Arabidopsis thaliana: one gene and its partner. The protein of the gene in region 1 interacts with the protein of each later gene in a biochemical or structural test. Each region holds a gene or a part of one and is shown in the gene's direction. Other genes may lie near its edges.

What was found.
Region 2: the proteins of AT3G57800 (region 1) and LOB form a complex in vitro, tested with the Arabidopsis thaliana proteins (one study listed by BioGRID).

What each region holds. Positions count from the first base shown.
Region 1 is NC_003074.8:21,407,202-21,413,431, reverse strand, and holds AT3G57800 (basic helix-loop-helix (bHLH) DNA-binding superfamily protein), read left to right. Parts: upstream 1-1,819; 5' UTR 1,820-2,110; coding exon 2,111-2,656; intron 2,657-2,728; coding exon 2,729-2,842; intron 2,843-2,933; coding exon 2,934-2,999; intron 3,000-3,495; coding exon 3,496-3,591; intron 3,592-3,861; coding exon 3,862-3,906; intron 3,907-4,136; coding exon 4,137-4,205; intron 4,206-4,353; coding exon 4,354-4,425; intron 4,426-4,836; exon of another isoform or gene 4,837-5,031; intron 5,032-5,125; coding exon 5,126-5,398; 3' UTR 5,399-5,643; downstream 5,644-6,230.
Region 2 is NC_003076.8:25,307,864-25,313,075, reverse strand, and holds LOB (Lateral organ boundaries (LOB) domain family protein), read left to right. Parts: upstream 1-2,056; 5' UTR 2,057-2,401; intron 2,402-3,146; exon of another isoform or gene 3,147-3,276; intron 3,277-3,773; 5' UTR 3,774-3,792; coding exon 3,793-4,353; 3' UTR 4,354-4,530; downstream 4,531-5,212. UniProt on the Arabidopsis thaliana protein: Not known; ectopic expression of LOB leads to alterations in the size and shape of leaves and floral organs and causes male and female sterility.

The sequences.
Region 1 (6,230 bases):
CTCTATTTGTTAGAAAGAAAAATAGGGGAAAAAAATAGAGATCCATATTTTTGTTTCTATATATAGAGAAAAAAATAGAGATCTCTATAATGGAAGTGAGAATAGAGATGAGTTGGAGTGTAATAAAAGCAAAAATAGAGTGTAGAGACAAAAATAGAGATGTGTTGGAGATGCCGTAAGTATTGTGAAGATAATCCTCACAGCTTTCTCAGCAATAAAAGAAAATATATCTCTTTAATTTTTTATAAAGGTTTTATGTGTGAATATTAAAAACTTTAGTCTCATATGAGTTCGAGACTGTGCTCGGGAACAAATTTTATAAAGATAAATCATCTAAAATTGAACTGCGTTTATAATGGCAAAGACTTTGCATAATTAGAATGTTTCTTATTGATAAAGACTTTGCATGTTTCATACTCATTTTGACATCTAATTGAATAAAAACAGAAAAGAGCCGTATAGCTTCAAAATCTTTATATTTAGAATAAAGTGTATATATGTGAAAGAGTAACACATATGTACGTAGGAATTAGGTTGGTTAAAGAATTGGCCACATCAATATCTGAGACACCAAAGAAGTAATGGACGTTGGGAGAGTAAGTAACGTTGCCAAATTGGAAATGCCAAAAAAAGATTGTACCTTTCCTCTCTTTGATTGAGACTTTACTACTACACCAAACCTTACATCACCAATCGCTGAAAGTGAAACCGATATTTTAGCACATTTATATTCCACTTCTACACCTTTTTACTAAATTTCAGTTTTGAGATTTACTTACATGAAGAAGAAATTGGCTAATCAAAATAATCAAGCAACGATGATTTGTTGCAATGAAATGGAAATTGGGATTTGGGCTCAGATTATTAGAGCATAAGTGGATTTCCTGTTCGGCCCATTGTGTGAAACAGGTTATTCCACTGGACCCATCTGTTCATCTTTGTCCTCAAATTTTCCTCTCTATCCCCAAAACACCCTTTTAAAGAAGTAACATTAATTGTTTTTTTTTTTCCTTTTAATAAATTTATAAGATATTTTGAATTAATATTATTAGTACGTCTCAATTTTTATTTTATTTTTGCCTTTTATACTCTAAAGTTTTTAATACTTGATGAATTTTGAATATTTTTAAAAAATAAAAAAAATAAAATATTTTTAAAAAATTAATATTACGCTTGGTAGATTTCATCCAACGGCTGAGATAATTACTAAAATGGTGTTTTGAGCTCAATTATTTTTCCATATTAAAAAGTGTTTTTGGTTCTTGGTTATTTACAGGTCAACAAAATAATTTGACACCGGAATCGGAGTCCGTGGAAAGTCAGAAAACCTGATGTAACACCATTTATGGCATTAACTACTGATAATAATACTATACGAAAATCCAATTATTATACCGAGAAAAAAAGAAAAGTGGTCAGAGACAGCAGGCTGGTCCTGCTGAAGAATAAATCTAATCTACCGATTCGATTAAATAAATATGTGCCGTTTTCTGGTACGCCCTATTCAAATCATTTTTATATTATAGTATCAAAATACTTCAAAAATTTACTAATTACAAAATTAAGGAGTGATAAAAAAAGTTTATAATCAGAGATAAAAAGTCACCGGTTAAAGCCCAAAAGGCCCAAGTAATATCCATTGGGATCCAGCAAAATATATAACAAAAGAACCGTACCGTACCTACAATAACCAAAATTGGTTTTCTCTTTCTTTTGTCTAACAGTGGCCTTTATTTAACAGACGCACTCCACTGCTAACGTTGCTTTCGTCCTACTCTTCTTCTGGTGTAAAAGCTTTTCTTCCACACACATTTGAGAAAGAAGACGAAGAAGAAGAGAGAATAACTATTCCTTCTTCGCCAAGTTCTCTGAGCTATAGAAGAAGGAGGGATTTCTTCAGACCGCCATTGTTGCCCACCTTCTCTCCTTTCTATTTTTCGCCGCATTTTACTCGCTTACTGACAAAAGTCTTCTACTCAAGTCTCTCTCTCGCTCTCTTTGGAGGCTCAATTAGGGTTTTGTTGTCGTGAGATTTGATTACACAAATTGCTGAATTTGGTTTCGATTATTGGTGTTATTGTTTTCGAAGATTTCCAGTGAGTTTCCGTTTATGGATCTGACTGGAGGATTTGGAGCTAGATCCGGCGGTGTTGGACCGTGCCGGGAACCAATAGGCCTTGAATCGCTACATCTCGGTGACGAATTTCGGCAACTAGTGACGACTTTACCTCCCGAGAACCCCGGCGGTTCGTTCACGGCTTTGCTTGAGCTTCCACCTACACAAGCAGTGGAGCTTCTCCATTTCACTGATTCTTCGTCTTCTCAACAAGCGGCAGTGACAGGGATCGGTGGAGAGATTCCTCCGCCGCTTCACTCTTTCGGTGGGACATTGGCTTTTCCTTCTAACTCAGTTCTCATGGAGCGAGCAGCTCGTTTCTCGGTGATTGCCACTGAGCAACAAAACGGAAATATCTCCGGGGAGACTCCGACGAGCTCTGTACCTTCCAATTCAAGTGCTAATCTCGACAGAGTCAAGACGGAGCCTGCTGAGACCGATTCATCTCAGCGGTTGATTTCTGATTCAGCGATTGAGAATCAAATCCCTTGCCCTAACCAGAACAATCGAAATGGGAAGAGGAAAGATTTCGAAAAGAAGGTTAGAGTGAGAGACAAATGTTTTTACTTTTTTACATTTGATCCTTCGTTTCATCAGATTGATTTTTTATAGGGTAAAAGCTCGACGAAGAAGAACAAAAGCTCTGAAGAGAACGAGAAGCTGCCATATGTTCACGTTAGAGCTCGTCGTGGTCAAGCAACCGATAGCCATAGCTTAGCAGAACGAGTAACTTGCATCTGCCTTCACTAATTTTTCTTTTTTTTGGTATTAATCAGTTGATTAATTCGCTAATTGATCACTAATTTTTGGATTATAGGCAAGAAGAGAGAAGATAAATGCACGAATGAAGCTGTTACAGGAACTGGTCCCAGGCTGTGATAAGGTTTGTCTCTTAGATATAGACGTGTAATCAATTTGTTAATCAATCATTAGGTCTTCATTTGTGATTAACGACATTATATTTCTCTAATTGATTCACTCCAAAAGTAAGAATTTATTATTAGATGATCTAGTCTTTTTGTTAAGGGTCTTAATCCTTCACACCTACTTTTTTTTTTCTTCCTAAAAAGTGGATTGCTTAATTGCTTTTTTATTAAGAAAAGTGGTTCCTGGTGTGCCAAAGTAGCCAGTTGGGTAATTGTGTAGTAATGCCTTTAGAGATCTCAACTTTATTTTTTTATTTCGTGTGGGGAGAAATATCTCACGGGTACACACTTAGCTTTAAGGTTAACTCAGTCACACGGAAGTGATAGGACCTTGCTTTATCGAATTCTTTTTCCATAAGTGTGTTCGTTGAGCTTGAAGATTAGTCTATAAATGACGAGAATGACCTTAGGAAGTGTGCTAGCTGTAATATGCCATTAAGGTTTTGGGTTTAGGGGACAGATTTTGGTGGAAAGATCAAGATCAAAGTGTGTTTTGGGGTCCATCTTTTGATGATAAGTGGGAAAAAAGTTGCAATCTTTCTATGGAAGGTGAGGAAGGGGTAGTATCGTCTCTAACAAGTTCGGTATCTATCAAGGAAAAATAGAAAATGACTCTTAGAAGGACGATTAAAGCAAATGATCCTTTACAAAAATTGATATGCTTTGAGTCCCACATACCTAATTAGTTGGAAACATGATGTGACACTCCCCCAGACAGCTAATTAATCATCCCTGATGTTAGAAGTTAGCAGCAATTATTGGTGTGATAGAGATGATGATATGGAACATCAGTGTTTGTTTAAAATTTGGATTCTATAGGTGAGCTGTGAGGACTTGATTGATTGTTCCTTTAGCCCCCCTAGGGTATACTGATTACTTGTGATTGTAGTAGATACCATTTATTATAATAGCTTTAGATTAGCACGTCATTCTCTTGCTGCTTTTTTCACTGTGTATTTTGGAATCTTGGTATTTTCTCGTTGAAATATTGGATCATCTTAACAATAGTTAGCTGTCTAGAAAGAATTTTTGGTATGTGAAAGCAGATCTACCTAATATGAATCCGAGCTTATCAGAAAGTCTTTGACCTGCAGATTCAAGGTACCGCGCTGGTGCTGGATGAAATCATTAACCATGTCCAGTCATTACAACGTCAAGTGGAGGTGAGACTTTCCGTGGTCCAATTTTTGTTCTTTATACCTATATTTTACAATAGCCCTGGGCACAATAAAAGGGTCAACTCAAAACAATTTGAAAATGAATAGAATTATGTGCCGCAATCTCATGAAACTGTGACTTGTGTTTCCACAGATGCTATCAATGAGACTTGCTGCGGTAAACCCCAGAATCGACTTCAATCTCGACACCATATTGGCTTCAGAAGTAAGTATCAAAATCTCAAACAATAATTTGGTCATTCTGATTAGTCTTCTCTAGGAAAAATTTAACCATTTCATGTGTTTCTCATTTAAGTTAACCATACCTCTTTGAGTAGCTTCTAGTTTCTATCACAAAAGGAGAAACTTTTGGGGTATTTATTGATACAAACATTAATTTAGACCATTTTAGTGTAAGGCATAGGAAGATCACAACGTCTACTCTCATGAAGGAAACTCAGGGAAAAATAAATACACAACACACACACACACCCAATGCAAATAACAGTAGTGGGTCAAAACTCGGACCACCTTTGTTCTGTAAAACCTTTCTGTGTCTTCTGTGACTTATGTCGGATGTGTTACTTGATGAACCTTTTAAAAAAAAAGTTAATTCATCCCTCAATAATTTCTGTGGGTCTCTTCCAAAATCTTGTTATTTCAAAGTGACCTATCTAATTTCATGATCACCTGTGGATTCTCATCAAAAGTTTTGGACCAAACTAAATAAATGCTCCCTCTCTCTTTCTTCTTACAGCTTGTACCACCATTAAATAGCCAGGGACCCTCTCATCAAACCTTGTTCTTTTAGGATAATAATAACACAGCAACAACAGTTGACTTCTTTGACTAGATCAAGATCTCTATGAATGATCCCTTTGCTGATATCTTTTCCGGTTTTGGCTCTGTGTTTTTTTCTTTGACAGAACGGTTCTTTAATGGATGGGAGCTTCAATGCCGCACCAATGCAGCTTGCTTGGCCTCAGCAAGCCATTGAGACCGAACAGTCCTTTCATCACCGGCAACTGCAACAACCACCAACACAACAATGGCCTTTTGACGGCTTGAACCAGCCGGTATGGGGAAGAGAAGAGGATCAAGCTCATGGCAATGATAACAGCAATTTGATGGCAGTTTCTGAAAATGTAATGGTGGCTTCTGCTAATTTGCACCCAAATCAGGTCAAAATGGAGCTGTAAGTTGGGAAAACGGTAGAGATCATGAATGTGTATATACATCGTATAAGCTCGTTTCTCTCTATATAAATATAATCATAAATATAGATATCTGTTAAGAAGGTATCAGTCATTTGATTCAGAGAGACAACACTGGTATGATTGTTTCTTATTCTTGTACCAGATTTCGACAATGTAGAATTTAGTAGGATATGATCATTTTGATCTCGTTATATATATCTTACTAATAATAAATAGAGATAAAAAAATTCTATTTAGGGAAATAAATCAGTATCGATAAACAAAAACAGAAAGAAGAAGCAGGGGCATCCTTTGGATATTGGAGTTGCACGAAAAAGAAGAAGCAAAAACAAAATGCAACTATATGTTTAGATTGTTTGAGCTGGACCAAGTGAAAATGCACCTCTTGAATTATGGTTTAGGTTAGGTAACAAAAAACCCTAAATTGACTCATTCGATAAGAACAGAGATGCAATCATAAATATGAGTGCAAAGCACGTTACCGGAAGCTGTGATGGCCTTGTTTGCGTCTACCGTATAGAAAGATTGATGTGTATCATCAATCCCGCCACTAGATGGTATCGATCTCTTCCTCAGCCTAAGATTCAACAAATTAACCGCCTTAGACGAAATCTACACGAGAGAAAGTTTCACTTTTTAATTCTTTTGCTTAATCAATTTGCTTAATCAATTTGCTCATATATGTTTACTTAAATTTTTGATGTTTTTGTAGTATTATTTCACTATTATTGTGCCTAATTAATTGTTTTTGTTTTTACAAACTCTCTCATAGCTTATTATTCTGCATCAAACTATCCAGGATTCGGTAAAGACA
Region 2 (5,212 bases), on another chromosome or scaffold:
TTTGTTTATTTTTATTGTATGAGGAATACACTAAACTTCCGTATTAGGAGTTTTCAGTTTAAATTCTACCTCTCCTAATTTTTCCTTTGCTATATGTGTTTCATATTCATGATTGTTGTCTATTTTGTTATTCGATTCTACATATATAAAAACAAACAAGAAAACAAAAGGACATATTCACAAAACTATTCCTCCAAGTTGCATCATTGACCTCCCATATATACCTCTAACTTTACCCTTCCATAATCAGCACATGCACATTCATTAATTCAACATTATCTCTTATGTGTGTGTTGTTTCAAATGAGACCATATATATAAAATGTGGTTTCTATAGATTCTTAGAGTCACACTGACTTAATTAAATTACAAGAAGAAAAATAAAATTCGAGGGACAAACTAGGTACTAGTCTAGTTTTAGTAGATCATATGTGTGAGGAGGACCCATATTCCCTCTCTCTCTCTTTCTCTCTGCAAACCCTTTATAACACTTCATACCCCCACCTCTCTATTTGTATCATTTTATATGCAACCTCTCTATATATATTGAAGGGCTATATATATAGATCAATACCCATTCTAATCGATTACTTTAATCTTTTGATGGTAAACTTTGTTATGGTTTCTTCTGTAATATGTAGGCTTAGTGTTGAATTTACAACGTCGGACGGAACGAATAAACCATATCATAGCTCTCCAAACAACTTTCAACTTATTCGATATAGTTACTTATTATCTATCATATCAGAATGCGCAATCAATAACATTGAAAACTTTGAATAATCAGTCAATTTTTGTATCATAACGAGAGAGAAGCTCTACTTTCCAAGTACGAGACTAGTTTCCTCTTTTAGAAAAGAATAGGACCTCTATTTTCGAACCCTAATCCCGATATATATTAGTCACAAAATTAATATCTTAAGAAAAATATGAAGACATTAGTTTGGTGATAAAGCCTATAGATGCTTCACTTTAGTAAATTACTAAGTTCCCACCACTAACCACCATCATAACTTAGACCAACAAATAATGATCTTGAAAATATTCAAAAGGTTAATTTACCACAATTTTCTGATAGTAATAAGAAAATTATCTCATTTACTTTTCCATTAGGTAACTATTTATGATCTACATTTGCATTTGAATTTTGCCAGTCTAATATATCTTCAATATTGAACCATTTGAATTCTACATTAGACCAAGAATTGGTGCGAAATAAAAAGAAGAAGACATTATGAAAAATGTCTCAATCGGTTGTCACTTCCAATAATATATAATCTAACACAAGTAACTGTTGTATGATACTAACCCTAGCTAGCTATAGCTTCAAAAATCTTCGGACCCCCTCATAGTTTATTTTCCATTACAAAAGTTCTGATTTTACAAAACCTATTTAAACTTGACTTGATCGTTCACATGAAATCGCTTGACTTTTACTGATTTCCTGTCTCTACGTAGCTACTTTGAGGTCTCAAGAGTTTATTCTTGTTCCTATTAACTGTTGTTCGATTAAATTAAATTGAAGAATTATTTTGCCACACCTGAAAAAAAGGTTCAATTCATTGCTGTTAATTTTAGGATGTCAAGCTTTTTTCACAACGGTATGAACAAGAGAACAAGTTACCAGTCACCAAATTTATACCGCTATATATTAATTGTATAGTTTGTTCTGCCAAAAACAGTCATATAATATGTTCTTTAGTTCTCATTGCAAATCAGGGTTTGTTATGATATTCAATTAAAGTCGAGATTGATATAGAGAGATGCTTAGGGTTTTCTTGAGGTTCCAAATTTTGGCCATCAGCGTGAGACAGGTATATATAGAGAGATCATATATAGTGATATTTATATACACACAATGATAATTGATTAGTTAGCTTAGGGTTGATTTCGGGACTGTTAGGGAATATTGTTAACATTAAATGTATGAAGAAAAATTCACAAAAGCTAAGGTTTTAAAAAATAATCTAATGGGAGACAAAAGTAAGCACAGTGAAATGATATTACTAATATTCTTGAGATGAAATGTCATAGTCATTCTTTAAGGGACATACCCTCTCCTCCTCTTCCTGTTTATTAATTGTTCATTTGTTATTATTACACTTTGTCTTTTGCTCTTTCTCCTTCCTCTCCACTAAAACATTTCTCTATTTTTTCCTTTTTATTTGTTTGTTTGGTTTCTTTAAATTCTCAGCTTCTATACAAACCTTTCTCAATTCTTCTTGACATTAGGGTTTCCTCTTTCTTTGAGAGGGCTAAAACCCTAATATATCCCTCTCATTGACTAAAGAGTTAAGCCTACTCTATCTACTTTGGAAGCGAAATTCAAAGGGTAAGGTAAAAGCCCTTGAAAGAGGAAGAAAGATACAAGATCCTCAAAGAACCTAAAGATCTAAAGGCAGGTATATGTATATACTTTGATGTATGTATCTTAATAAATCCCTGGATTTATGCATAGCTCCCGATTATCAAAACAAGTCTTCTAATCTATGTTTAATTTTATTTTCTATGCTCCATGTTCTATGTTCTATGTTGCTCATACACATATTCACTTTGATCCTTCTGTCACTTTCCTTTTGAATTTCTACTATAATAAAGACTTAACAAGGTTATCTAATTAATTATAGCAAATGAGACAAGGATATAAGTAAACACGTGTAATTAAACCTTCGTGATCTCTTTGAGTTGACATAATTAAGGTCAGATCTAAAGTTTACAAACAAATCCAAATTGGTATAGACTTGAGGTCAGTAGAATTGCTTCATCTCGGAGAAAAAGAGAGAGTTTATCTTACTTAGTAAAGACAATTTTTGAAATTTCTTTGACCAAGTTTAGTTTTGAGGCATACAAATAGAAATTATAAAATCCTCACTGAGTTTCCCTTTTAAGTTATAGTTTCTTTTAACAAAGCTAGGGTTGAAGAGAGAGTGAGAGGAAGATGAAGAAGATGGTAAAACACATCAGGACACAATTGAATTACAAAGAAAAACTGTTTGATATATTTTGGTAAAATATGAAGTAGATATGCATTGAACAAAAATATGTAGTATTTATATGTAAGATTGATATAGATACAGAGGGATACACAAACTCATCTGACATTTTAAAAATAAGATTGCTTTTTTTTTTTGGTTTTGTTTTGTTCAGGGAATAACTGATCGACATGTATGACATCATATATTAGCTAGAATTAAAGGCGAGTGTGGGTATGTGTATACTCTGTTAAGGAAGATTCGGAGAAGTTAGTTAAATATATTCGTAGAGATAAATTAAGAAGGTAATAGGGGATTAAATATGTGAAGTGATATTTGTCTACTTGAAAACTAGTGTAGACTAAATTAATTGAAAAAAAAAACGTTATGTGAAACTAAAGTTATAGTTCCAGCACGTCCGGATTATCTCTGTGTTCCTAACGTGTTCAATTAATATTCAATCTAAAGACATTTAGGTTTTGTAAATAGTATGTTTTTCCTTTCATTAGATTTGATGGTGGACATTTTACATATACATCAAGAAAAACGTGGAAAGGGAAAATCAATGGAAAGATAATTAGGAATTCAATGAAAGAAGGAAATAAAAAAATTCAATATAAAATTTGAAAAAGTTGCAATATAGAAATTATAGAAAAATGACTTCTAAACGAAACGTAGGAGTTTTATCATTTACTGGCAAATTTAAATTATATATATGTAGATCGTATGTATAAACATACTATATATGTGTGTGTTTAACTTTTCTTTCTAATTGTATTTTGTTCTTAAAACACAATATTAGGTTGTAAGAAGAAAAACAAATGGCGTCGTCATCAAACTCATACAACTCACCATGCGCGGCGTGCAAGTTTCTTCGCCGGAAATGCATGCCGGGATGCATATTCGCGCCATATTTTCCACCGGAGGAGCCACACAAATTCGCCAACGTCCACAAAATCTTTGGAGCAAGCAACGTCACGAAGCTCCTCAACGAGCTCCTCCCTCACCAACGTGAAGACGCAGTCAACTCCTTAGCCTATGAGGCCGAGGCACGTGTCCGTGACCCCGTCTATGGCTGCGTCGGAGCCATCTCTTATCTCCAGAGACAAGTCCATAGGCTTCAGAAGGAGCTCGACGCAGCTAATGCTGACTTGGCACATTATGGTTTGTCCACATCAGCCGCCGGAGCACCTGGCAACGTCGTGGACTTGGTTTTTCAGCCTCAGCCGCTTCCGTCGCAGCAACTGCCTCCCTTGAACCCGGTTTATAGGCTTTCGGGGGCAAGTCCGGTGATGAATCAGATGCCACGTGGCACCGGAGGGTCGTATGGGACTTTTCTTCCTTGGAACAATGGTCATGATCAGCAAGGAGGTAACATGTGAGAGTTTATAAATTATGAGTATTCATCCTCTCATCTCTCTCTTTCTATATTTATGTGTGTGTGGTACGAATACGATATTATTTGTTTAATGCATGGACTGTGTGTGGGATATTATTTCCTAGCGAATTATAAATGCATGGACTGTTCTTATTTATTTATGATGATTGATGAGGTATATATATTTTGGTTTTTGATTATTATTAGTGTATGTTTTTCAATAACTAAGCTATGATACTTGAACAAATATATTTTACTAGATAATTATTTTCTTGATTGTTTTTGTAATGTTAGGTGCCAAACATGATATAGTTTTATCCGTTTCATTTTTAGTTATTTTTAATGATTTCAATAATTAGAATGAATATCAATAACAAAAATATCAGTTTTAGTATAAATTTTATTTATTTATTTAATGCTATATCATTAAATATTTAAAATCTTATTTACAATATACGTTGAAATATAAAATGGTATTCTGTGGTAAGCAAGATATATTCATTTAATTACGAAACGGAAAAAGGTATGTTTCTATAGTGGCATTGGTGAATTTTATTATTTTAAAAATACCTATGATTAGATATATAATATGGTGATGATTGTTATTGCCTTGGGTTCAATACCTAAACTAGGATTGTAGTTTGCGTGGATGCATGTTTCAGAGAACTTAAGGGTGCTAATAATTGAAGGTCTCTGCTTTATTATTAGTTTAACTTATTTAACTACATAGTTTGTATCTGTTTAAGTGTACAATATATAATTGTATTGATTGTTTGGAGTTATCATACTATTAGTTTTCCATTTTGTTGAGTAAAAATGAACTTGTAGAGCGACGGCTAGGCATGTGTATTATGAAGTTTCCT